Elephas maximus indicus: one gene and its partners. The protein of the gene in region 3 binds, or shares a complex with, the protein of the main gene of each other region. Links are inferred from orthologs where the notes say so. Each region holds a gene or a part of one and is shown on either strand. Other genes may lie near its edges.

Region 1 (7,619 bases), on a different chromosome or scaffold from region 3:
CTCAGTCGCAGGGGCTGGCAAACCCAAGATCAGCAGATCAGAGAGCAGGGCTCTTGCTCACAGGCTGTGAAGATCAATGAATCCCAAGATCAGCCAGCAAGACTGCAGGTAAGCTGCAAGCTCGAGACCCAAGAACCAGAGGTCAGACGAACAGGAGCCAGCTGCAGGATCCAGGATGAACAAAAGCTCCCGAGCCCTCTCAGAAGGTCTGCCCACACACCCAAGGAAACTCCCCTTCAACCGATTGGCTATTCACAGCAGATCCCCTCATGGGGGTGTTCACATATCAAATCTCAAAAGTGAAGTGACCACATCACATGACTGCCAAAACACTGAGAATCATGGCCTAGCCAAGTTGACACACAATCTTAACCATCACAGTATCAAAAAGCAAAACAAAACTTGTTGCCATCGAGTGAATTCCGACTCATAGCGACCCTACAGGACAGAGTAGAACTGCCCCATAGGGTTTCCAAGAAGTGGCTGATGGAATCAAACTGCCAACCTTTTGGTTAGCAGGCAAGCCTTAACCACTGTGTAACCAGGGCTCCAACCGACCTATACGAATCCAAAAAACCAAACCCAGTGCCATCGAGTCGATTCTGACTCATAGCGACCCTACAGGACAGGGCAGAACTGCTCCATAGAGTTTCCAAGGAGCGCCTGGCAGATCTGAACTGCCAACCCTTTGGTTAGCAGCCGTAGCACTTAACCACTACGCCACCAGGGTTTCCAAACAATCTATAGCACTGGGCAAATCTGCTGCAAAAGAACTTTTTAAAGTGCTAAAAGGCAAAGATGTCATTTTGAGGAATAAGGCATGCCTGACCCAAGCCATGACATTTTCAACTGCCTCATAGGCATGCGAAAGCTAAACAATGAGTAAGAAAGACTGAAGGACTGGTGTGTTTGAATTACGGTGTTGGGGAAGAATATTGAATATACCATGGACTACCAGAAGAACAAACAAATCTGTCTTGGAAGCACTTACCAATGATGACCAAAGGTTACAGCCTTCATTATCAATTACACCACAACATAAAGAAAACAGAAATCCTCACAACTGGCCCAATATGCAACGTCATGATAAACGGAGAAAGTACTGAAATTGTCAAGGATTTCACTTTCTTGGATCCACAATCAACACCCATGGAAGCAGCAGTCAAGAAATCAAATTTTGTATCGCATTTGGCAAATCTGCTGCGAAAGTCCTCTTCAAAGTGTTGAAAAACAAATATGTCACTTTGAACATTCTGACCTAAGATGTGCCTGACCCAAGCCTGGTATTTTCAATCACCTCACACTCATGAGAAAGCTGGACAATAATAAAGGCCAAAGAACTGACACATTTGAATTACGGTGTTGGCAAAGAATACTGCAACAACAGGCTCAAACACAGCAATTATTGTGAGGGTATTGCAGGACCCGGCAGTGTTTTGTTTTGTTATAAATAGGCTCGTTATGAATCGGAACCAACTGGAGGGCATCTAACAACAACATACGTGTGTAAATACAAAGTTTTGTTTGTTTATTGTCTGTCTATCCAAGCAGACAATAACCTCCATTAGTGCAGAGACTTTGTTTTGTTCATTGCTCAATCGTGAGGGCTTAGCACAGTGCCTGGCAGATAGATGGCACTCAGTAAGTGTTGTATAGAGACAACAATCTGTTGCGTTAAATTGCAATTTGCTTCACTATACTTGGGTTTTTTTTTTTTATTTTAATACTTAGAATGCTTTTATCCCCTTTAAAAAAACAAAAACAAAAACTCATCACTTCGACACTCTCAAATGAGAGCAATTACCTTAACAAAAAAGCTTCCTTATGCTATTTTACCAATTTCATTCATTCACCACTGTTTATCACCTGGCATCAGTTACTAAAACCCCAAAAACATACGGAAATTCTTTAATTTGCTTAGTCAAGAATTGAATGGAGCCTTAGAATCACCTCATTTTCAGTTGAGAGTAGTTAAGGAATTTTACCAAGCAGTGGTTTTTTTTTTTACAGTTAGTAGTAGAGCTATCATGTGCACCCAAGTCCTTGATTTAGTTTAGTGCTTTTTCCAAAACCCACCTATGCGCGGTACACTTTCTCTGAAGCAAGAATTGACACAGAGACACTACCATCAAAAGAGACTCACACTTGTTCACTTTGGAAATGTAATTTTAATGAAATACAACTTTTTTTTTTTTTTTACCCAGGATCAAGAACCAAGCTGTCTCTACTTAGAATGTGGGCAGTTACTACAACTGAAAATCAGATATATACGTAGTTTTTTATAAAGTTAGGTTTCCAGTGGTTAATAAACATGCTAAATCATCAAAAGAAGTAGTCCTCTTTATTAGCGAACTTTTAGCATAAGCTAAGTAATGTTATTTTAGAAACAGCAGTAGTCCTCCCGCCCTCTCCCCCCAGAAAATACGAAACTGGAAAATAGCACTAGTTGAAAAAAATTTTTCACGCGTTGCCTTTAAAAACAAAACCCTCAGTATTCTGAAATATCAGAGACTTCCTGTAACAAAGTACTAAACATATTTTCTTTTTTTTGAGGCATATTACGCAAATAAACCGAAAAGCTGCCTTTACGCAAGCAGGTATTAACTTCCACGGGTTACAGCAACACTCTTGTAGCAGCGCGACAATTTCTCTCTGACCACGCACGAGGAGGCCACTTTCTCCCTCCCAGCAAATTCCCGGAGCAGAGCAAGGGGTCTTTGCACGGAGGTCGAGCGGCTCAGTAAGAGTTTCGCAGCCACAGCGGAGAGAAGCCCTACTAGGCCCACCGCCCCTTTCCCCCTTCCCCCTTCGCCCTCCGCCCCCCGCCCCCCGCCGCCTCGGCGGCGCCCCTCAGCTACCTTTCCGCCGGAAGAAGGACATGGCGGGGCCCGGGTCAGGGCGGAGGGCCCGGGGGGACTGTCGCGGGGAGGGCCCGGCTCCCCTCATTCAGCAACTGGCCCGGACTTCCGGGTCTGCCTCAGCCGCCGCACTAGCCCGAAAACAAACCCTTCTTCCGGGTGTGGGCCCTACTGCCTCCTAGAGATGCCTGGGCAGTGCCTGCCGCCATATTATCAACAAGCCGCCCACCCGGAGTTCCGGTCCTTCCCCGCGCGAGGCTTCACGGGAGGCTGGGCGGCCGGCCCCGCCTGCGACTCTCTCCAGGGTGCAGGCACGTGTCCGCGTCGCTCACGTGACCTTGCGGGAGTGCGACCTGCGCCCATCTCCCGGAGTGTGGATGTTGAAGCAGTCGGCATCGTCAGCTCTGCTACGCTGCCGGTAGTGTAGATAATGGCTCCTACGCTGTAGACCCCATCTTTGCAAAGGAATCCTCCTGGAGCAGGATCCTTCCCGGAGCTCCCCGGTCCTTCGAGATAACGCGCGGCTCTTGGAGCGCTCTTCTAGAGGCTGGGCCACCAGTGCTACGCTCAGCTTAACCCCTCAGTGTTTTTCCGTTTGAGATTTTCTAAAATTAGACGCTGGCCGGCATGGACTGGCTTCAGCGTGCACCTCCAGCCCCTCCTCTCTTAAGGGGCTTCGATGTGTGCGAGAATCTTGGTGGGGAATAGGAGACGTGAACTGCTTCATGCAGCTCCGGTGAATTCTTTTGTCACAGTGACCTCGGAAATGAGAAAAGAGAAGTGGGCTTATTTTCATAAGGTGATCTCTGCGAATGCTGGAATTTGAAAGGCAAGCGCCAGTGAATCATCCTTCAAGTCTTCTTCAAATGTCATTTTCCCTGTGAATCTTCGGACCCTCACTCTATTCCTGTAGCAGTGAAATCAAGCCTCCACCCCTTTAGTATCTGTCACCACTCTCTTGAGTGCACTCTGCCAAGTAGAATAGGTCACTGTTTGTAGCCCTTAGCTCCTGCCAGGGAGGGAGCCAGGAAGATAGTGTGTCTGGTAGTAGAAGCTCAGTAAGTGTTGGCTCGATTTTTTTTTAGTTTTTATTGTGCTTTAAGTGAAAGTTTACAAATGAAGTCAGTCTCTCATACAAAAATTTTTATACACCTTGCTAACCCGCCGAAAACCAAACCCAGTGCCGTTGAGTCAATTCCAACTCACAGTGACCCTATAGGACAGAGTAGAATCGCCCCATAGAGTTGCCAAGGAGTGCCTGGTGAATTCGAGCTGTCGACCCTTTGGTTAGCAGTCGCAGCACTTAACCACTGCGCCACCAGGGTTTCCATACACCTTGCTGTGTACTCCTAATTGCTCTTCCTCTAATGGGACAGCACACTCCTTACTTCCACTCTCTCTTTTTGAGTCCATTCAGCCAGCTTCTGACGCCTCTGCCCTCTCATATCTTCTCCAGGTAGGAGATGCCAACATAGTCTCATGCGTCTACTTGATCCAAGAAGCTCTTTCTTCGCTAGCCTCATTTTCTATCCTGTTGTCCAGTCCAATCCCTGTCTGAAGAGTTGGCTTTGGGAATGGTTCCTGTCTTGGGCTAACAGAAGTTCTGTCTCTGGGGTTCTTCTAGTCTCAGTCAGATGATTAAGTGTGGTTTTTTAATGAGAATTTAGGGTCTGCATCCCACTGCTCTTCTCCCTCAGGGTTTCTCTGTTGTTCCTTGTCAGGGTAGTCATCTGTTGTAGCCAGGCACCACCTAGTTCTTCTGGTCTCGGGCTGATGTAGTCTCTGGTTTATGTGGCCCTTTCTGTCTCTTGGGCTCATAATTACCTTGTGTCTTTGGTGTTCTTCATTCACCTTTGCTCCAGGAGGGTTGAGACCCATTGATGCATTTTAGATGGCTGCTTACTACATTTAAGACCCAGATGCCACTCTCCAAAGTGGGATGCAGAATGTTTTCTTAATATATTTTATTATGCCCATTGCTTAGATATACCGAGACCATGATCCCCAAACCCCTGTGCCTGTTACACTGGCCTTCAATGCATTCAGTTTATTCAGGAAACTTTGCTTTTGGTTTAGTCCAGTTGTGCTGACCTCTCCTGTATTGTGTGTTGTCTTTCCGTTCATCTAAAGTAGTTCTTATCTGCTATCTAGCGAATACCCCCTCCCTCCCTCCCTCCCTTCCCCCTCTCGTAACCATGAAAGAATATTTTCTTCTCAGTTTAAACTATTTCTCGAGCTCTTATAATAGTGGTTTTATACAATATTTGTCCTTCTACAACTCACAAATTTCACTCAGCATAATGCCTTCCGGATTCCTCCACGTTATGATACGTTTCACAGATTCTTTGCTGTTCTTTATCGATACGTAGTGTTCCATTGTGTAAATATAAAAAATATATATACCGTAGTTTATTGATCCATTCATCTGTTGATGGGCACCTTGGTTGCTTCCATCTTTTTGCTATTGTACATAGTGCTGCAGTGGACATGGATGTGCACATATCTGTTCCTGTAAAGGCTGTTATTTCTCTAGAATGTATTCTAAGGAGTGGGATTGCTGGATCATATGGTAGTTCTGTTTCTAGCTTTTTAAGCTCCAAATCGATTTCCAAGGTGGTCGTACCATTTTACATTCCCACCAGCAGTGTATAAGTGTTCAGTCTCTCAACAACCTCTCCAACATTTATTATTCTGTGCTTTTTGGATTAATGCCAGCCTTGTTGGAGTGAGATGAAATCTCATTGTAGTTTTGATTTGCATTTCTCTAATGGTAATGATTGTGAGCATTTCCTCATGTATCTGCTAGCTACCTGCATGTCGTCTTTAGTGAAGTGTCTGTTGATATCTTTTGCCCATTTTTTAACTGGGTTATTTGTCTTTTTGTAGTTGTTTTTGTTGTATCATGTAGATTTTAGAGATCAGAAGCTGATCAGAAATGTCATAGCTAAAAACTTTTTCCCAGTCTGTAGGTAGCCTTTTTACGCTTTTGGTGAAGTCTTTGGATGAGTATAGGTGTTTGATTTTTAGGAGCTCCCAGTTATCTAGTTTCACTTCTACATTGTTAGTGATGTTTTGTATACTGTTTCTGTCACGTATTAGGGCTCCTAACATTGTCCCTATTTTTTCTTCCATAATCTTTATCATTTTAGATTTCATATTTAGGTCTTTGATTCATTTTGAGTTTGTTTTTGTGCATGGAGTGAGGTATGGGTCTTGTTTCATTTTTCTGCAGATGGATATCCACTTATGCCAGCACCATTTGTTAAAAAGATGGTCTTTTGCCCATTTAACTGACTTTGGGCCTTTTTCAAATATCAGCTGCTTATATGTGGATTGATTTATGTCTGGATTTTCAATTCTGTTCCATTGATCTATGTATCTGTTGTTGTACCAGTACCAGGCTGTTTTGACTGTTGTGGCAGTGTAATAGGTCCTAAAGTCAGGTAGAGTGAGGCCTCCCATTTTGTTCTTCTTTTTTCGGGAATGCTTTACTTATCCGGGGTGTCTTTCCCTTTCATATGAAGTTGGTGATTTGTTTCTCCATCTCATTAAAAAATGTCGTTGGAATTTGGATTGGAATTGCATTGTATCTATAAATGGCTTTTTGTAGAAGAGACGTTTTGACAATGTTAAATTTTCCTATCCATGAGCTAGGTACGTTTTTCCACTTACACAGGTCTCTCTTGGTTTCTTGCAGAAGTGTTTTTTAGTTTTTTTGGTGTAAGTCTTTTACATCTCTGGTAAGATTTATTCTTAAGTATTTTATCTTCTTGGGGGCTACTGTTAATTGTATTGATTTGGTGATTTCCTCTTTGATATTCCTTTTGTTAGTGTAGAGGAATCCAACTGATTTTTATGTGTTTATCTTGTATCCCAATACTATGCTGAACTCTTCTGTTAGTTTCAGTAGTTTTCTTGAGGATTCTTTAGGGTTTTTGTGTGTAAGATCGTGTCATCTGCAAATAGAGATACTTTTACCTCTTCCTTGCCGATCTGGATGCCCATTATTTCTTTATGTAGCCTAATTGCTGTGGCTAGGACCTCCAGCAGAATGTTGAATAAGAGTGGTGATAAAGGGCATTCCTTTTTGGTTCTCCTTCTCAAGGGGAATGCTTTCAGACTCTCTCCATTTATGATGATGTGGGCTGTTGGCTTTGTGTAAATGCCCTTTATTATGTTCAGGAATTTTCCTTCTATTCCTATTTTTCTGAGGGTTTTTGTCATGAATGGGTGTTGATGTTGGCTGGATTTTTTAATCATGTGAAGAATGAGGAAACTGAGGTTCAAAAAGAGGAGACAACTTGCTTGAGATTATTCAGTATGTCAGTGTTGAAACTAGAACTAGAACCCAGGAACTTTTCACCATAATACTAGAGCAGGTTAATAGATTTGTCTATTTTTGTTGGGGTTCATTTGCAAATGCATGTAAGATGTGTTGATATTTACTGAAACTTACTACGTGCAGGTTCTCTGCTAAACTCTGCAGTTTAACCCTTGTAATAGCCCTAGGAGAGCCCTGGTGGTGCAGTGGTTAAGAGCTCAGCTGCTAACTAAAAGGTCTGTAGTTCGAATCCACCAGCTGCTCCTTGGAAACCCTATGAGGCGGTTTTACTGTGTCTTATAGGGTTACTATAAGACAGTAAACTGGGTTTTTTTTGGGATAGGGTTACTATGAGTTGGAATCCAATCAACTTGACAGCACTGGGTTTGGGTTTTGGTTTAACAACTCTAGGAGTCAGTCTTAGCGTAGACAAAACTAGG
Region 2 (7,831 bases), on a different chromosome or scaffold from region 3:
AGAGGCTGCTGAAGGCATGGTAGACAGATGTGGAGGTATCTTCATCCCAGTGGAGGAAATACAAGAAATACAGGGTCAGCACAGCTGAGATGGAAAAAAGGGAGACAAACAAGGTAGATGCATTAAAGCGATTTTTGAAGGAGGAATGTATTTGATCTCTGGTCTTTGAAGGTAATCTTGGCCTTCAGCCCTCCTATCAGTGATATGAGTGGGGCGGAAAATAGCAGCAGGGTCTATGGAGCTATGGCATTGAATGGAGCTATGCTGAGTGTACAAATTCAATACTTCTTCCTCAAGTCTATGTACACTCATAGCAGCATCTAGACCAACCTTGAAGATAACATGGTGTTTCCAACACCCCTTTCTTTTCTTTCTCAACAGCAATATGGTTCAAAAGCCTGAGGAAGATGTATGAAGAATGGGACTCGGATGACAAGAGCTTTCCCACTTACATCCTCACAGACCATGTTCTGGTTTCTATCAGACCCTTCTGTTCTTGGCCTGTAGGAGTTACTAGGTGAATTCCATGAGGCATGTACTGGAAATCTTGGCCAAAGGGACCAGCGTGGACTAAGGTGGGAAGAGTAGGTAAGAGAAATAAGCCCCTTCAAGGAGGCTGGACTGTTGTAAGAGGGGGTGAGTGGAGAAACGCAGGACACTGGGACACCAAGATACCTTTCATGCCATAATAGGAAAAGCGTTCGCAGAATTCATTCACCACAATGAAGGCAATGCTCAGTGGATAGTTGGTGCCACAGAATTTCTATGAAACAAAAAGGCAATGATTCAGGCATGAGTCGTTTTCCCTACTTTAGCCACTAGATTGTTCCTCAATAGCAAAATTCATTTTTTCCTATCTCATTGATAGGTATTGTGGGAATTCTTTATGAAACGGTTTTTATCACACTAACAAGTGTTTGAATTGCTGATTTAGGAGTAAAAGAAGCAAGTCTGAATATTACTTTGTTCCTCATTCATTTAAAATAGAACTGCTCAGACATTCCTTGGCCCTAGATACAGGACCTGCTTACTTTCCCATAGCTAGTAAATGAAAAGTTGGGAGCTCTGGCCAGAAGAATAATCAGCCGTATTTCAATGAACAGGATGAAGAGGTGGTCTGTGGAATGCCTGATGTCCACGCAGTTAGATTCAGATATCAGTATTCTGCCTAGTTTCTCTGTGGAGACTGGCCCCTCTATTCCTCACTTGACACATATAGAGTGCCTTCTTTACCATGATGGGAGAAGTCCTGGCAATATAATGATTTCCAATGCAGGGGCTGTTGGAGCCAGGCACAGAGCCCAACACGGAAGGCAAAAATCCTAAAGGGAAGCTGATAGATCGCGTTGACTTTGGGCAGAGGATTCTTTAAAAAAAAAAAAAAAAAAAAAAGCTGTTGTGTCAAGCCTTAAATCCTATAAAACTAAATGTCCACTCTTCCTGCCAAAGTGATATTATAACATTTTCAGGATAATCCTACTGGACATTAAAAGGACTAGTCTATTTCATGTAGTATACAAGCCAGAATATAAGGAATGCCATGTTTTATTACGAGTCCCTCTATCCACTACGATAGCCCAACTAACCTGAGGGGGGCGGGTGGTGGGGAGGTCTGCCCTTGGGACAGTCAAATCTTATCATGACATTTACACTGTCTCTGGTTCTTTTCTTAGTGCATGATAAATGTGTACATCTTTGTAAGCAGCCTAAAATCCTTCGGGGCCATAAAAGATAAAACTAGACAAAACAAATTAATATATTTATTCATTTGCTCATATATATACATACAAATAATGCCCCTAAGTATTAATATATGTTAATGCATGATAATATTTTGCATGAAAGACACGATGAACTAGGATTTTCAACTTCCCAGCTCACAGCTTGAGAGTTATGTTACCTGCAGTTCAGTTAACACGCTGTCACTAGCCAGCTAACACTGGCACTAGCTGTGTTTAACATACTAATACGGGTCGGTACACTGCAAGTGCCTTATGTCTCAGTTCTGTTATTCCAAAGAAATGTGAATTACACCACTTCTTGGCCCATAGTAAGAACTCAATAAATCTTTTTTTTTTTTTTTTTTTTATTATTATATCCTCTCCTCTCACAGGATTTTGATAGGAGGACTGAATGAGATAACAAATTTGGAAGTGTTTTAACAAGTATATGATGCAAAACTTTATGATTATTTCTTTGTTTCTTTGCCTTACCTCCCACTGTCAACTAGGAAGGCATTGTAGGAGAGACTGAGTCTATTCTAAAACTTCTCTGGGTGCTCTACATAAGCCCCGCACACAGGGAGAACTACAGGCTAAGTTTTTTTATTTGGTAAAACAAGAACAATCACACACAGTTCTCCAGACAGGCATGCCTGCCAAGTTTCCCTGGACATTCAAATGGCTGTGTTTTTTCCCCTCAGGGAAACAAAACTCAGAATATACAATGAACTACAGCAAAACCCTGGGTCCCAGCTGAAGAACTCTGACTACCTCTTCCTGCTGCTTCCTCCCTCTCTAAGTAAAGGTAGCTTCAGTTCAGACTTGGTTTTTTACATTAATTCTAACTCTTAAAAAAAAAAAAAAAGATGTTGCCCTTGTGTGGATTCTGACTCATAGCAACCCTGTAGGACAGAGCAGAACTGCCCTATAGAGTTTCCAAGGCTGTAAATCTTTAGCGAAGCAGATTGCCATCTCTTTCTCCCGCGGAACTGTGGGTTCAAATCCGATTACCAGTCAATGGCTTAACCAGAGCACCACCAGGTTCCTAATTCTAACCCTAGGCAAGAATCATTTCTATATCCTAATTCAGCTTAGGCTGGGGCTCTAGAGGCCAATCAGGAAAGCTCAAAGAACAAGGCTAATCCTGTTAGAGTGAGAACTGAATCTGGGGACTCACCGGAGGTGACTTCTCTGGAGGGTCTGGAGGTCCAGGTGATACCTCTTCAGCGGACACAGGTGAAAAAAGAATTTCCTTGGACACATTTATCTGGAAGGGATTCATGGCTGTCTCTTTACTCTCTCTCTCCTGAGCCATTTGGCTCAGGGAGGCAGTTGGGTCAGCTGCCAGCCTTCTGTAAGAAGGGGAACTGGCAGCAGGAGGGGGAGGTGGCTTCAGCAACTAGGTTTAACCCTGTGGGTGTTGGCTTCAGCAGCTGGCTCAGAACAGAGCCCGAAGCTATAGGAAAAGAAAGGTTGAGGGTTAGAGACCTGTTCCAAAGAATGATTATGTAAAAGGTGAGAGCAAGGAGAAGGTGCTAGAGAATTGATAAGGAACAGAATGTTTAAGAAATATTTCCTACAAATGAGTCCTAATTAAGCATGCGATACCTCAAGCAAGATTAAACACTTGATTTCAGGGTAACAGTAACTGTCATTTATTGAATACCTATTATATGCTAGGGAGCCCTGGTGGCATAGTGATTCAGCTGCCAGCCAAAAGGTCGGCGGCAGTTCAGATCCACTAGCTGCTCCTTGGAAACCCTATGGGGGCAGTTCTACTCTGTCCTATAGGGTCGTTATGAGTCATTATGAGTATATATACATGAATTACATATACGATCTAGATAATATATATTTTTGTATATTCTAATTCTTACTACCAAAAAGAAAAAAAGTTGCCATTGAGTCAATTCTGACTCAATGGCAACTTCATGTGTATCAGAGTAGTACTGTGCTCAATACGGTATTCAATGGCTGATTTTCTGTAAGTAGCTCACCAGCCCTTGCTTCCTGGGCACCTCTGAGGACTTGAACCTCCTACCTTTCAGTTAGCTGTGAAGTGCCTTAATCATTTCTACCACCTAGGGACCCTCTCTACTTCTTACAGCTATCCCCATTTTGCAGAAACTCAAGTTCTAAAAGGTTAATTTGCCCAAAGTCACATGGCTAGCAAGCCACAGATCTGGAATTTCCACTATGTCATGACAAACAGACATAAAAGGTAGAGATTAGTATCAGTAATGCCTATGGCCATGATTTAGGTATGCAGGCTTAAGGATCTCCATTAGGATGGCGGCTATGCAATGGAAATATAAGGAAGCTGGGATATTGAGATGCCTTGAATTTAGAGATATAGGAAGTATGTTAATTTTTCTTGTAACATATACCACATTTTTACATAAATAGCACATGCCGTTAAACATTTTTTTTTGCCAACCACACCCTCTACCCAGGAGGTATTTTAAGCGCTATAATCATAGTTTAGCTTATGAGGTACACCTAGTGGGGGTGGGAGGAGGACAAACAAAAGTAACATGTGTGCTCCTCGTTTGCTTAAAAGTAGGGTAATAAAGTTCAGCCAGAAATATACTATAAGCAATTAAAGAGGTAGGACTAAAGAAAACAAGAGAAATAGGTTGGTGATGTATGTTTGGGAGTCATTGTTTTTTGCTAAAGTCATTCCCTGTATTTTCATTCTCACTTTGAGATGAAACCATCCTTTCCCTAAAAACCATAAATAAATAAGATAAAATAATTAATTTGAGCCAATGATGTGAAGCAATTTCTTTCTAGGTACTGTTGCAAACATGATTTCCTTAATTTTTAGTGGCTAGATTCCCCAATAACTCCAGAATATAGTACATAGTCCCCATCAGAGGAGAAATAAGAACAGGCATGGTGTGACAAATACATGTCATATTGTATTCTTTTTGCTGAGAGGTAAAAGAAGAACAAAAGATCACAGTGCCCTTCTAGTGGTTAGTCAAAAGAAAAGGGAAACCAATGGTCAGAGAACTATGAAAGAAATAAGGAAAGAAAAATGAGGACCAACCCAAAGAAGTCAGGCAACACAAGAAAGGATTATTTTGTTTGAAAATACTAGGGAGAAACAGAGAATCCAGGATCCTATCCCCTCGCAAAGTTCTCAGACTACCTATCTGAGTAATTTATTGACACAAGGCTGGGATAAACTATGCTTTCCTCCCTGAACTTTATGTCAGACTTTGACCAAGTCTCTCAGCTTCTCTATTACAGTTCTCATTTCCCCTGCTCTCCCACCAAACTTTACCAAAAAGAGACAGGCGTCTTTTCTGACTGTGACATTAATGATTAAACTGTAGTTATTGTCCCAGGAAATATTACTCTTTCTGACATAATTTGGTTAATGATTCCGTATGCAAAACAAAATGCTCAGAATTTACTAGTAAGTTAACTAGTTCATCAGAAGACACCATTAACAGTGAAAACACAACTCACAGAATGAGAGAAATCATTCGTATCGCACACATCTGGCAAAGGATTTGTGTTCAGACTATATAAATAACTCTAAAAATCCATAACAAAAAGGTGGATAATCAAGTAAAAAATTATCAAAAAATTTGAAACGATATTTCACAAAAGAAGATATCGAAATGGCCAATAAATCTGTGAGCTGGTTATCAACTTTATTAGTCATTAGGGAAATGAAAATTGAAAGAATTAATGTGATACCACTATAGAACCACCAGAATGACTTAAAAAAAAAGACACTATCTAGTGTTGGTGAAAATGTTAAAGCAACTGTAATTCTCATACATTGCTGGTGGAAGTGCAAATTGGTATAACCAGTCTGGGAAATTGCTGGGCAACTTCTACCAAAACTGTATATACTCATAGTCTATGACCTAACAACTTGCTTCCAAATATGGACCCCAAAGAAATATATGGATATAAATTCAGTTCATTTAACTAGCTCTAGAGTTTTTTGCTATTCTACACAATTCTCCAATAACTGGCATATAAGACAAATGTATCTGTAGAATATATTTTTAGAAGTGAAACTGCTGAGCCAAAAGTATTTTTTTGTAATGTTTAGAACTTCCTGTTCATGCCTTTTGCCCATTTTTCTACTGAGTTGTTTGTCCCCTTCTTGTAAATTTCTAAGAGCTATTTGTGTATTATTGATATTAATGCCTCTTTGTGGCAAAGATTTCCTATTGATTTTATTTATGGATTTTTAAAGTTAAATACAACATAGTAAAGCACATAGATCTTAAGCATACAGCTTTGACATACATATAACTCACACAGTATAAATATAACACATACATATAACTCATACAACCACCACTCAAATAATATATACAACATTTCTGGCACCTCAATGCTGGAAGTCCTATGCAATGGAAATATAAGAAAGTTGGGATATTGAAAGGCACTGAATTCAGAAATACAGGGAATCTGTTAATTTTTGTTTTAACATATACTGTATTTTTACAAAAACAGCACATGCCATTATACATTTTTTTTTTTTTGCCAACCACACCCTCTCCACAGGAGGTATTTTCTTAAGCACTGTAAGTATAGTTTAGCTTATGAGGTACACCTTGAGGTACCCTTCAGAGAGCAATACCTGTTGCTTCCCTTCTGCCTCCCAGACAAACCCCCCTTCCCCAAGGTAATCACTATTCTGATCGCTATCAGCATAAATGTGTTTTGCCTGTTTGGAAACTTTATATAAATGGAATAATACCTTTTGTATTCTTTGTGCTTGATTTCTATTACTCAACATTATGTGTGTGAGATCTATCCATGTTGCTGCCTGTAGTAGTATATGTTTTTCTCCACTGTTTGGTAGCGTTCACTATATAAGTCACAATTTACTTACCCATTCTTCTGTTGATGACCATTTGGGATATTTCCAGTTTTAAGGTTGTGCTATTGTCAACTTAGTTTAAGCTAGGAGCTACATTTCCCAGAACCACCTTCCCTGTATGTTTCTAGGTCTCTCTCCCTCCATACATATGCTGCTGTTAGGTGCCATCAAGTCAATTTCAACTCATAGAGACTCCATGTGACAGAGCAGAGCTGCCTCATAGGGTTTTCTAGGCTGTAATCTTTTTTTTTTAATCTTTACATGAGGCAGATTGCCAGGTCTTTCTCCCCAAGAGCCACTGGGTGGATTTGAACCACCAAACTTACAGCTAGCTACCGCGTACTTAACTGTTGCACCAGCAGGCCTACACACATATTCGTAATACATATATATATATATATACACATACATACCTAGGTATACACACACATGTGGAAACCTTGATGGCGTAGTGCTACAGCTGCTAACCAAAAAGCCGGCAGTTGGAATCCACCAGGCGCTCCTTGGAAACTCTGTGGGGCAGTTCTACTCTGTCCTATAGGGTCGCTATGAGTTGGAATAGACTCGCCGGCAGTGGGGTTGATTTCGTTTTGGGTATACATGCACATATATGAACTTACTTATTTTAAAAGTTTGAGATTATTTAGATTTTTTATGCACACAGTCCTGTCATTTGCAAATAATGTACTGGGTCAAATGTATCCTTGGTTTTTGTTTTGTTTTGTTTCTTACAGTTTCAAGTGCCCTATCTTGGTTAAAAAGGTCTCTTCTACTCCTATGTTACACCTATAGTGTATAACAGGGATTGGCATACGTTTTCTGTAAAAATGTAAAGGGTCTTCTGTAAAGGGCCAGAGAGTAAATATTTCAGTCTCTAGTCTTTGAGGGCCATAAGCTTTATGTAAAACAGAGTTCTAATATTCTTTTGTTTCAATGGATAGTCAGTTATGCCAGCACCATTTATAAAGAACTCAATCTTTTCCATTATAATTGAAGTCTTACCTTGTTGTATATTAAAATCTCATATATATTGGGATCTATTGAATCTCTCCCAATATATATGAGAATTTTATATTTTGTTTCATTGATCTATTTATTCCTGTGTCAATTATTTGATTATAGTGGCTTTGAATATATAGAATATGTTCTGGCATCTGATAAGGCAAGTCTGCTCACTATTCTTTCTCTTATTTGGGCATTTATTTTTCCACATAAATTTCAAGATCATTTAGAGACTGATATTGCATTACATTTA
Region 3 (7,272 bases):
AAGGCTATGAATGAAGAGTGGTGGGATGGAAGAGGGAGGCCAATTTAGAAAGCCCTTCCTGGGGCGTTGGCATTTGAATTCATACCCAAATGATAAGAAAATAGTCATGTAAAGATCTGAGGAAGGGGGAGACCATTTCAGAGTTTGTGGTCCCAGGAAGCTGTAAAAGCTAGTGTGGGAAAACAGAGGGCTGAGGCTTTGAATATTCCTTGGCACTGCATATACCTGCTCTAGGAACACAACCAGTAAGACCACCAGGGCTAACACCCCCAGCCCTGCAATGAAGATATTCTCTAGAAATGGGGCAGCTTCAGGAGGCTAATGACTACCCTAGCTTCAAAGCTCCAGCATCTATCACATCCTTGGTGACCTGGAAAACCCGTTAGCGATCATCTAGTTTCAACTAGGAAATAGAGGTTTGTGGAGCCCTGGTGAAACAGTGGTTAAAAGCTATGGCTACTAACCAAAAGGTTGACAGTTTGAATCTACCAGCTGCTCCTTGGAAACCCTGTGGGGCAGTTCTACTCTGTCCTATAGGGTCACTATGAGTCGGAATCGACTCGAGGGCAATGGGTTTGATTTGGGGTTTTAAATAGAGTTTCAATGAGATTAAAAAACCTGACTGCAAGGCTGTTTCTTCCCACTATTCCACAGAGCTTTTGGATACACACATTGTAACATAAGTACCTTACACTTTTGTGTTTAGTCTCCTAAATGCATTCATATTTTTATAATTTTTGGTACAGCCCTGGGGCAACAATGAGGTCTTCATTTGACAGATGGTGACATCAAGGCTCACTTTGGCCAAGTGACTTTTCACTAACAACTAAATCAAAACCCAGTTCTTCCCCCAGCCCTGCATCCTCTCCCCTTGATGATACATAGCTGCCTAGCAAGTTGGCTATGAATGTAAGCCATCGTTACTAACTACTTCATATTTTATGATACAAAGAACATATGAAAATGTCAAAGATAAGAACAATTCACTTAGTCATTAAAACATAAACTCAAAGTCCTTGAGTTAGTTGCTGCAAGAAGAACATATGACTCCAGGTGACCAGACAGTTGTGGCCTGAGACACTCAGCCCTGTGACTTCTGGATACAGGACTGAGCATGTTGATGCTGTATGGCAGGGACTGTAAACTAGAAGGAATGTGTTCCTCTTGTGAGGCCAACCCAGACTGTCTCCACGGTGAACCACTAGGTGAAGGTTACTTAAGTCCCTTGATTCTTCTGCTTAGGAAATAATCTCCTATTGGTCCCCAAACCTGCCTACATATTACAATCACCTGGGAAATCTTAAAAAAAGAAGAACTTCAGACTATACAAGACCTGAAGAATTAGAATCTCCAAAGGGTAGAAACTGGAGTTCTACATTCTCAAATTCAACTACCCTAGAAACCCACTGATTTTCCTCATTGTTTTGTGCTATAATGTGATAAAAAAAATAAATTTAAAAAAAAGAGATGCCCATTTCTGTTACCTGATGAGATAAAGTTAACTTACATTCTGTCTTTTACAAAGAGCTTCTGGAAGACAATCTCAAATACCTAAACCCCCTTAATAGTGGAGAAGGTCTTGGAGTTAACTTCCTCATGACCTGTGACGTCTCCCTTTGGCTGAACATCAAATCCCCATACGACCCTGGGAAAGTTTTCTCTGAGGATCAGTTCCACAAACTGCTTTGTCGGGCAGCCCCTGACCTGCAAGGGTCAGGGGTCCATCACGCAAGAGAATTTCAAACGTGCACACACCCCCTGCTTCCCCACCCAGGGGCCTGGCCAATGACAACTTGCCCATGGGCCTCTCTCCTATCCTAGAAAGCCAGCTGCTTGCTTGGAAAAGAAAAAAAGAAGAGAAAGACAGTGGTCCAGGGCCAGGTGGCTGGTACCCTCAGTCAGGGGGACGCAAGAGTCAGAAGTTCTTACCTGAATCCAGGAAAGAGAGGAGCTGTTCCGTTCACTCAGGAACTCTCTCTGTTGATGAGCACTAGTCTTGGAACTTGCTGAACTTTGAACAAAGATCGATTTAAAAGTTGATGTATTTAACAGGGACTTGTAGTCTGACCTCTGTTCTGCTTCCTGCCAGCTGGCTAGGCCCTGAGCTGGGCAAGCCTGGAAAACTCCAGCAAACTCAAAAAACTTAGGCCCACCTGCCTAACTGCCTGGGGATGCTGCTCCTTGCCTGCCCTTCCCAAAGACCAGGACAGAGAAAAGAAGGGAAGACAACCAGGGAGGAAGTACCTCTGCCTTCCTGAGTTCCCTCCCTTAGGCAAATGCCTAGGTCACAGCCAACCAACACTCAACAAACACCTAGTCCCCTTAGGCATTTCCATTGTCCCCAAGCAAAGGTCGCTGCTGAGCCAGGCTGCCATCGCCGGAGCATCCTTACACACCAAGGCCTCCCTGGGGAGCAGCAGCCTGTGCAGTCCCCACCCATGGCCCCAGTAGAAGGCTAACAGGCCATTAAGCCCAAGTGGATAGGGCAAGATGGACTCCCACCCTGAGAGTTCTTACTCGCATAGTCCCTGGGAGTTCACCCTTCAAAGCCCCTGTTCTTCCCCAAGCTCCCTTCCTTTTATACCCTTTCTCCCGTGCATTTTTTTTTTTTTTTAATCTCTCTCACCTGAGAGTGCTCTGTTTTCAATCTCCAAGCTAATGACAGTTGTATTCACTTCTTGTGTCTCAGGCAAACATGTCTGGGTAGCTGGAAGGCATTTTCAAAAGCTCCTCAGCCCTGCTGCCTGGGCAGTGGGGTGGTGCTCTCCTGCACTGCCCCAGCCCCAGCCCCAGCCCCAGCCCCAGCCCCAGCCCCAGCCCCAGCCCCAGCCCCAGCCAGGACCAGCAGCTGATCCCTGTTAGCAGCACCCACACTGGTGAATCTACCACCAAGTTTCTCACTGACCTGCATCCTCAGCCCACACTGGAAATAAGGGCAAGAGATTGCTCCAGGCAATGAGACAAAACAAACCGCGGCCGAGGACCGGGTGGCCTCACCCTTTCTCCACCCACGCCGGAAAGGCCTCTTGCTGTCACTGTGCCTTGGCTTTGCCCCCAACAAAGCCATGGCCGGAGTCAGTTGGTAAATGGTTGAAAATGACAAATACCTGAGTAGCTTCCGCATACCAGTTATTTTCCACCTGAAGCGTGCCCTCTGGGCCTTCTGCATATCTTCCAAAGCAGCAAGGTATAATGGGAAAATCAGGATTTAGCACCAGAACACCTGGGTTCAAATTCGGCCTCTGCCACTTCGCAGGTGTTTAATCTAGGCTAATTTAATTCGCTGAGTCTCACTTTCATCATCTGTGAATAGTTGTTGTTATATTGTTGTTAGAAATGTGGTCTTTATTTTGAGTCAAAATTTCTCTCACCTCTACCTATAAATCCTAATAGTTCCTTCTGGAGCTCTACATCCTAAATCTAGTCTTTATTCTACACAGCAGTCCTTCAGGTATTTGAAGGCAACTATATCCCTCTTTTATATCCCCCATGGAAACCCTGGTGGCATAGTGGTTAAGTGCTGTGGCTGCTAACCTAAAGGTCGACAGTTCAAATCTCCCAGGCACTCCTTGGAAACTCTATAGGGCAGTTCTACTCTGTCCTATAGGGTTGTTATGAGTCAGAATCAACTCGACAGCAATGGGTTTGGTTTTGGTTTTGGATATCCCCCACAGGAGCCCTGGAGGCACAGCGGTTAAGAGCTTGGCTGCTAACGAAAAAGTTGGCTGTTCAAATCCACCAGCTACTCCTTGGAAACCCTATGGAGCAGTTCTACTCTGTCCTACAGGGTCGCTATGAGTCAGAAACAACTCGAGGGCAACAAGTTTGGATATTTTGGTTTCTATCCCCCATAAGTCTTCTCTGAGACTCTGAGAGATTCATTGAATGCCCCTCATTCCATAAGGCCTATAGAATATTCCATATGGCTTAAGCCTATGTGATAACTTCAAGACTTCTTATCACCCTGGACGCCCAGCTGATTTGTCAGTGTCCCTCTTAAAATCTAGGGCCTAAAGTGAAAACTTTTTAAGGTGAGGGAATGAAACTTTATTGAGTGTTGGGAGTGGCAACATGTCTCCAGTTACCAAAATTCATCAAGCTATGGGTATACAGCTAAAATAGCTGGATTATATTGCATGTAAAAATACCTTTTTTTCTTTTTTTAAGGAGCATAAGTCAGTAAAATTGATTCTGAAAACATCTATTTAAATTAAAAAAAAGCAGTTCTCACATGAAGCACTCATTCATCTCCCAATCAACAAGATTCTCAGACTTGCCTTCTATCCCAGCACAGCTGGAACAAATAGCCACAACATTTCAGGCTTCCATTTATATATATATACACACACACATACATATGTATATACACATACATATGTATATACATACAATATACATATATATATATACCCACAGGGACCAAAAACCAAAAAACTAAACCCATTGCCATCAAGTCAATTCCAACTCATAGTGACCCTATGGGACGTAGTAGAACTGCCCCATAGAGTTTCCAAGGAGCACCTGGTGGATTATGAACTGCCAACCGCTTGGTTAGCAGCTGTAGCCCTTAACCACTATACCACCAGGGTGTGTATTTGTTTTGTTGACTACATCCCAAGTGCCTAGAATATAAGCCTTTTCAAAAAATGTTGTCAAATGAATTAATCAAATAAATAAATGAATGAAACTCCTTTTGCCAACAGGGCTGGTTTTTCTTCCACCTTTTCACTGAGAATGTAGTTTTTGAGGGTGTCACCTCTATGCAGGGTCTCAGTTCCTAGCTTTTATCTCCTGTTGCAAAGTGACCCTGTGAACACAAACCGGTTACCACTTTTCCATTTCCTCTTCATTCTGGATCTTAGAGATTTATTTTCCATTTCTTCCAAGTTCAACTATCTATTTGACAAAATGCTTGATGTATTTTCCACAGTATTTCTGTGAACTTTATTAGGAGGGTTTTCAGTTGATTTAAAAAAAATAGTAGTTCTACAATTTAGTAGTTACTTTGCATCCCAACCTCCAGCTTTCTTATCTGTATAATAAAAATAATACTGCAATCTCATAGGGTTGGTCAGAGAATTAACAAGACATTTGTAGAGTGCCCAGAACCTGGTAAATGCTTGGTGCATAGAAACATTATTATTCTCATTTTTTGAAGGAATCAGTCCTCTTAATTTATGGGCACACATTATACAAACAGGCCAATGAAAATAAATGAGCTAGAAGTACACAATGGGCAACTTGGGAGTTTGGGATGTTTGGAACAGTAATGTATGGCGCTCCTGCCTGCTCACAACACACCATTTGGTGCAACTGGTCAGAAACAGAAAATTAGAAATACTTCCCAAGACTTCTCAATCTTTTTCCCATCATGCCACACATAGAAAATGATAGTAGTTGTATAGCACACTAGAGTAAATAGACGTGTTTGTTCAACGCTGGAAAGACCTGCCTGAGACCAGGAACTCTGAGCTCTGCCCAGACTCTCCAAAGGTTGAGGGGACCAATATTTTTGGCATACTTGTAGAAAACTATTAAAAAACATCACCAAAAGCAATTAAAGAAAATCCAATGAAGATTATACCATATTCATGGATTGGAAGACTCAATACTGTAAAGATGTCAATTCTCTTCAAAACGATTGTTTACAGATTAATGTAATTCCAAACAAACTTCCCATAGGCTTTGTTTTTTTTGTTGATGGAGCTTCATAAGCTAGTTCTGAAAACAAAATAGTAAGGAAGGAGTTGCTGTAGTGGATCTCAAGATGGTAGAGTGACAATAACTACTTTAATATAGTACTGGCACAAGATGGACAAATGGACCAATGGAATAGCTTAGAAAGCCCAGAAACACAGTCATACATATATGATTTATATCGATTTATGACAAAGAACAGAGGGAAAGAATGGCCTTTTTCAATAAATGGTTCAGGGTTTGCATCTGGCTTATTTTATTCAGCATGATGTTTATGAGATTCATCCATGTTGCTATATGGAGCTGTAGTTCATTTGTTTTCATTCTATGATTCCATTTATGTCATCTCCAAATCAGAACTTCTGGGGTGCCTGTTTAGGTGGTCACTCACTACACTGACTTTTGGGATGCTGGCAAGATTCTAGTTCTTGAGTTGACTGGTAGTCGCACAGGTGGTTGTGATAAATTATTGAGCTATGCATTTTCATTCATGTATTTTCTGTGTACCATATCTGACAATGAGGTTAAGAAATTCAAAAACTTAAAAATTACGGTGTATGTCTAGATAACAGAGTAAACAGAAGAAGTTTTTCAAGGCTGGAAGTGACCTACCTGAGGGTTTCAGTTGCCCTCGGCCCTGCCCAGACTATTCAAAACCCAAAGGGAGCATTATCTTGGCATTCCCATAACCCACCTGTGGCACACCTGAGCACCCTGGTCAGGAAATTTTGATCTTACCACTTCAATTTTCTTACTCTGAAAAAGGATTCAGAGAGATGAATTGACTTAACTTAGGTCTCCAAAAGTTCATAGCAGGGACAGGGCTAAGACCCTGAGCTTTTGCTTCCAAGGTCAATGCCCTTTCTACTACACCATTCTGCCTGGCTTCCTGGGGACCATCTGGATGTTCTTATGTACAAGATTCCAGGCTTCACCCTTTGCATTTGGGCTCCATCCCTGATACTCTTGAATTTTTATCCCAATTTCAGATCTGATTGCTTCAGTGTTACCCTGTCTTTTTGGTAGCTCATTAACTCACAAAAACCAGTGCCGTCGACTCAGAGCCTGGCATTTTTAGCTCCAGTGGTTTTCTGTCCCTGTCCTGAGTCAATGTTTATGGCAATCTCCCCTTTCTACCCCCTCCCCCACCATGCTACTCTGGCCTCATCCACCGTCTGAAGAAACAGCCTGTGCAGTCTGCATACCTCTGGAGGAATTTATTAGGTCAGAGTCCAGGTGCAGGACTGCAATGAATGTTTTACAGCAGTGCACAGTGATGGGTGGGAGGAAAGGCAGCCACTTTGCTTTACAGGCATTGTGGCCCCACAAGATAGCAGATCTCAACTTTCTAGTGTTTTCAGCAACCTGGTGTCAGGTCAGGGGAGGCCAAAGGACCTTGGAGAGCTGTGAATTATTAACACTTGTAGCTGACTGCAAAGGATATTTTAGTGGTCATTTCTTCTCCCAGCTGAGGGTTCAGAATGCACAATCCTTTTCTACCAAAAGAAAAATTGAGGCCCAGAGCAAGAACATGCCCTGTTCTGGGTTCCCACGTGTGCAAAGGTCTGGGCATTC

The links.
Region 1: the proteins of PDZK1 (region 3) and AKAP10 are in contact, whole or in part, in a crystal structure (PDB 3TMH), measured with the Homo sapiens proteins. The link is inferred for Elephas maximus indicus from reciprocal best matches to the Homo sapiens genes PDZK1 and AKAP10. Residues at the interface, in NP_001188254.1 of Homo sapiens: Asn386, Gly387, Tyr388, Gly389, Phe390, His391, Leu392, Asn393, Ala394, Ile395, Arg396, Phe402, Lys404, Tyr436, Glu437, Val440, Ile443, Gln444; in NP_009133.2 of Homo sapiens: Pro655, Leu656, Glu657, Lys658, Ser659, Thr660, Lys661, Leu662.
Region 2: the proteins of PDZK1 (region 3) and SLC15A2 are in contact, whole or in part, in a crystal structure (PDB 6EZI), measured with the Homo sapiens proteins. The link is inferred for Elephas maximus indicus from reciprocal best matches to the Homo sapiens genes PDZK1 and SLC15A2. Residues at the interface, in NP_001188254.1 of Homo sapiens: Asn386, Gly387, Tyr388, Gly389, Phe390, His391, Leu392, Asn393, Ala394, Ile395, Arg396, Gln407, Tyr436, Glu437, Val440, Ile443, Gln444; in NP_066568.3 of Homo sapiens: Glu723, Thr724, Lys725, Lys726, Thr727, Lys728, Leu729.

What each region holds. Positions count from the first base shown.
Region 1 is NC_064820.1:212,340,414-212,348,032, reverse strand, and holds the start of AKAP10 (A-kinase anchor protein 10, mitochondrial), read right to left. Parts: upstream 3,080-7,619; 5' UTR 2,947-3,079; coding exon 2,859-2,946; intron 1-2,858. UniProt on the Homo sapiens protein: Differentially targeted protein that binds to type I and II regulatory subunits of protein kinase A and anchors them to the mitochondria or the plasma membrane.
Region 2 is NC_064819.1:12,437,851-12,445,681, reverse strand, and holds the start of SLC15A2 (solute carrier family 15 member 2), read right to left. Parts: upstream 3,084-7,831; 5' UTR 3,037-3,083; coding exon 2,899-3,036; intron 764-2,898; coding exon 676-763; intron 85-675; coding exon 1-84. UniProt on the Homo sapiens protein: Proton-coupled amino-acid transporter that transports oligopeptides of 2 to 4 amino acids with a preference for dipeptides. Transports neutral and anionic dipeptides with a proton to peptide stoichiometry of 2:1 or 3:1.
Region 3 is NC_064821.1:157,858,695-157,865,966, reverse strand, and holds the start of PDZK1 (Na(+)/H(+) exchange regulatory cofactor NHE-RF3), read right to left. Parts: upstream 3,068-7,272; 5' UTR 2,906-3,067; intron 2,708-2,905; 5' UTR 2,627-2,707; intron 2,012-2,626; exon of another isoform or gene 2,007-2,011; 5' UTR 1,930-2,006; intron 1-1,929. UniProt on the Homo sapiens protein: A scaffold protein that connects plasma membrane proteins and regulatory components, regulating their surface expression in epithelial cells apical domains.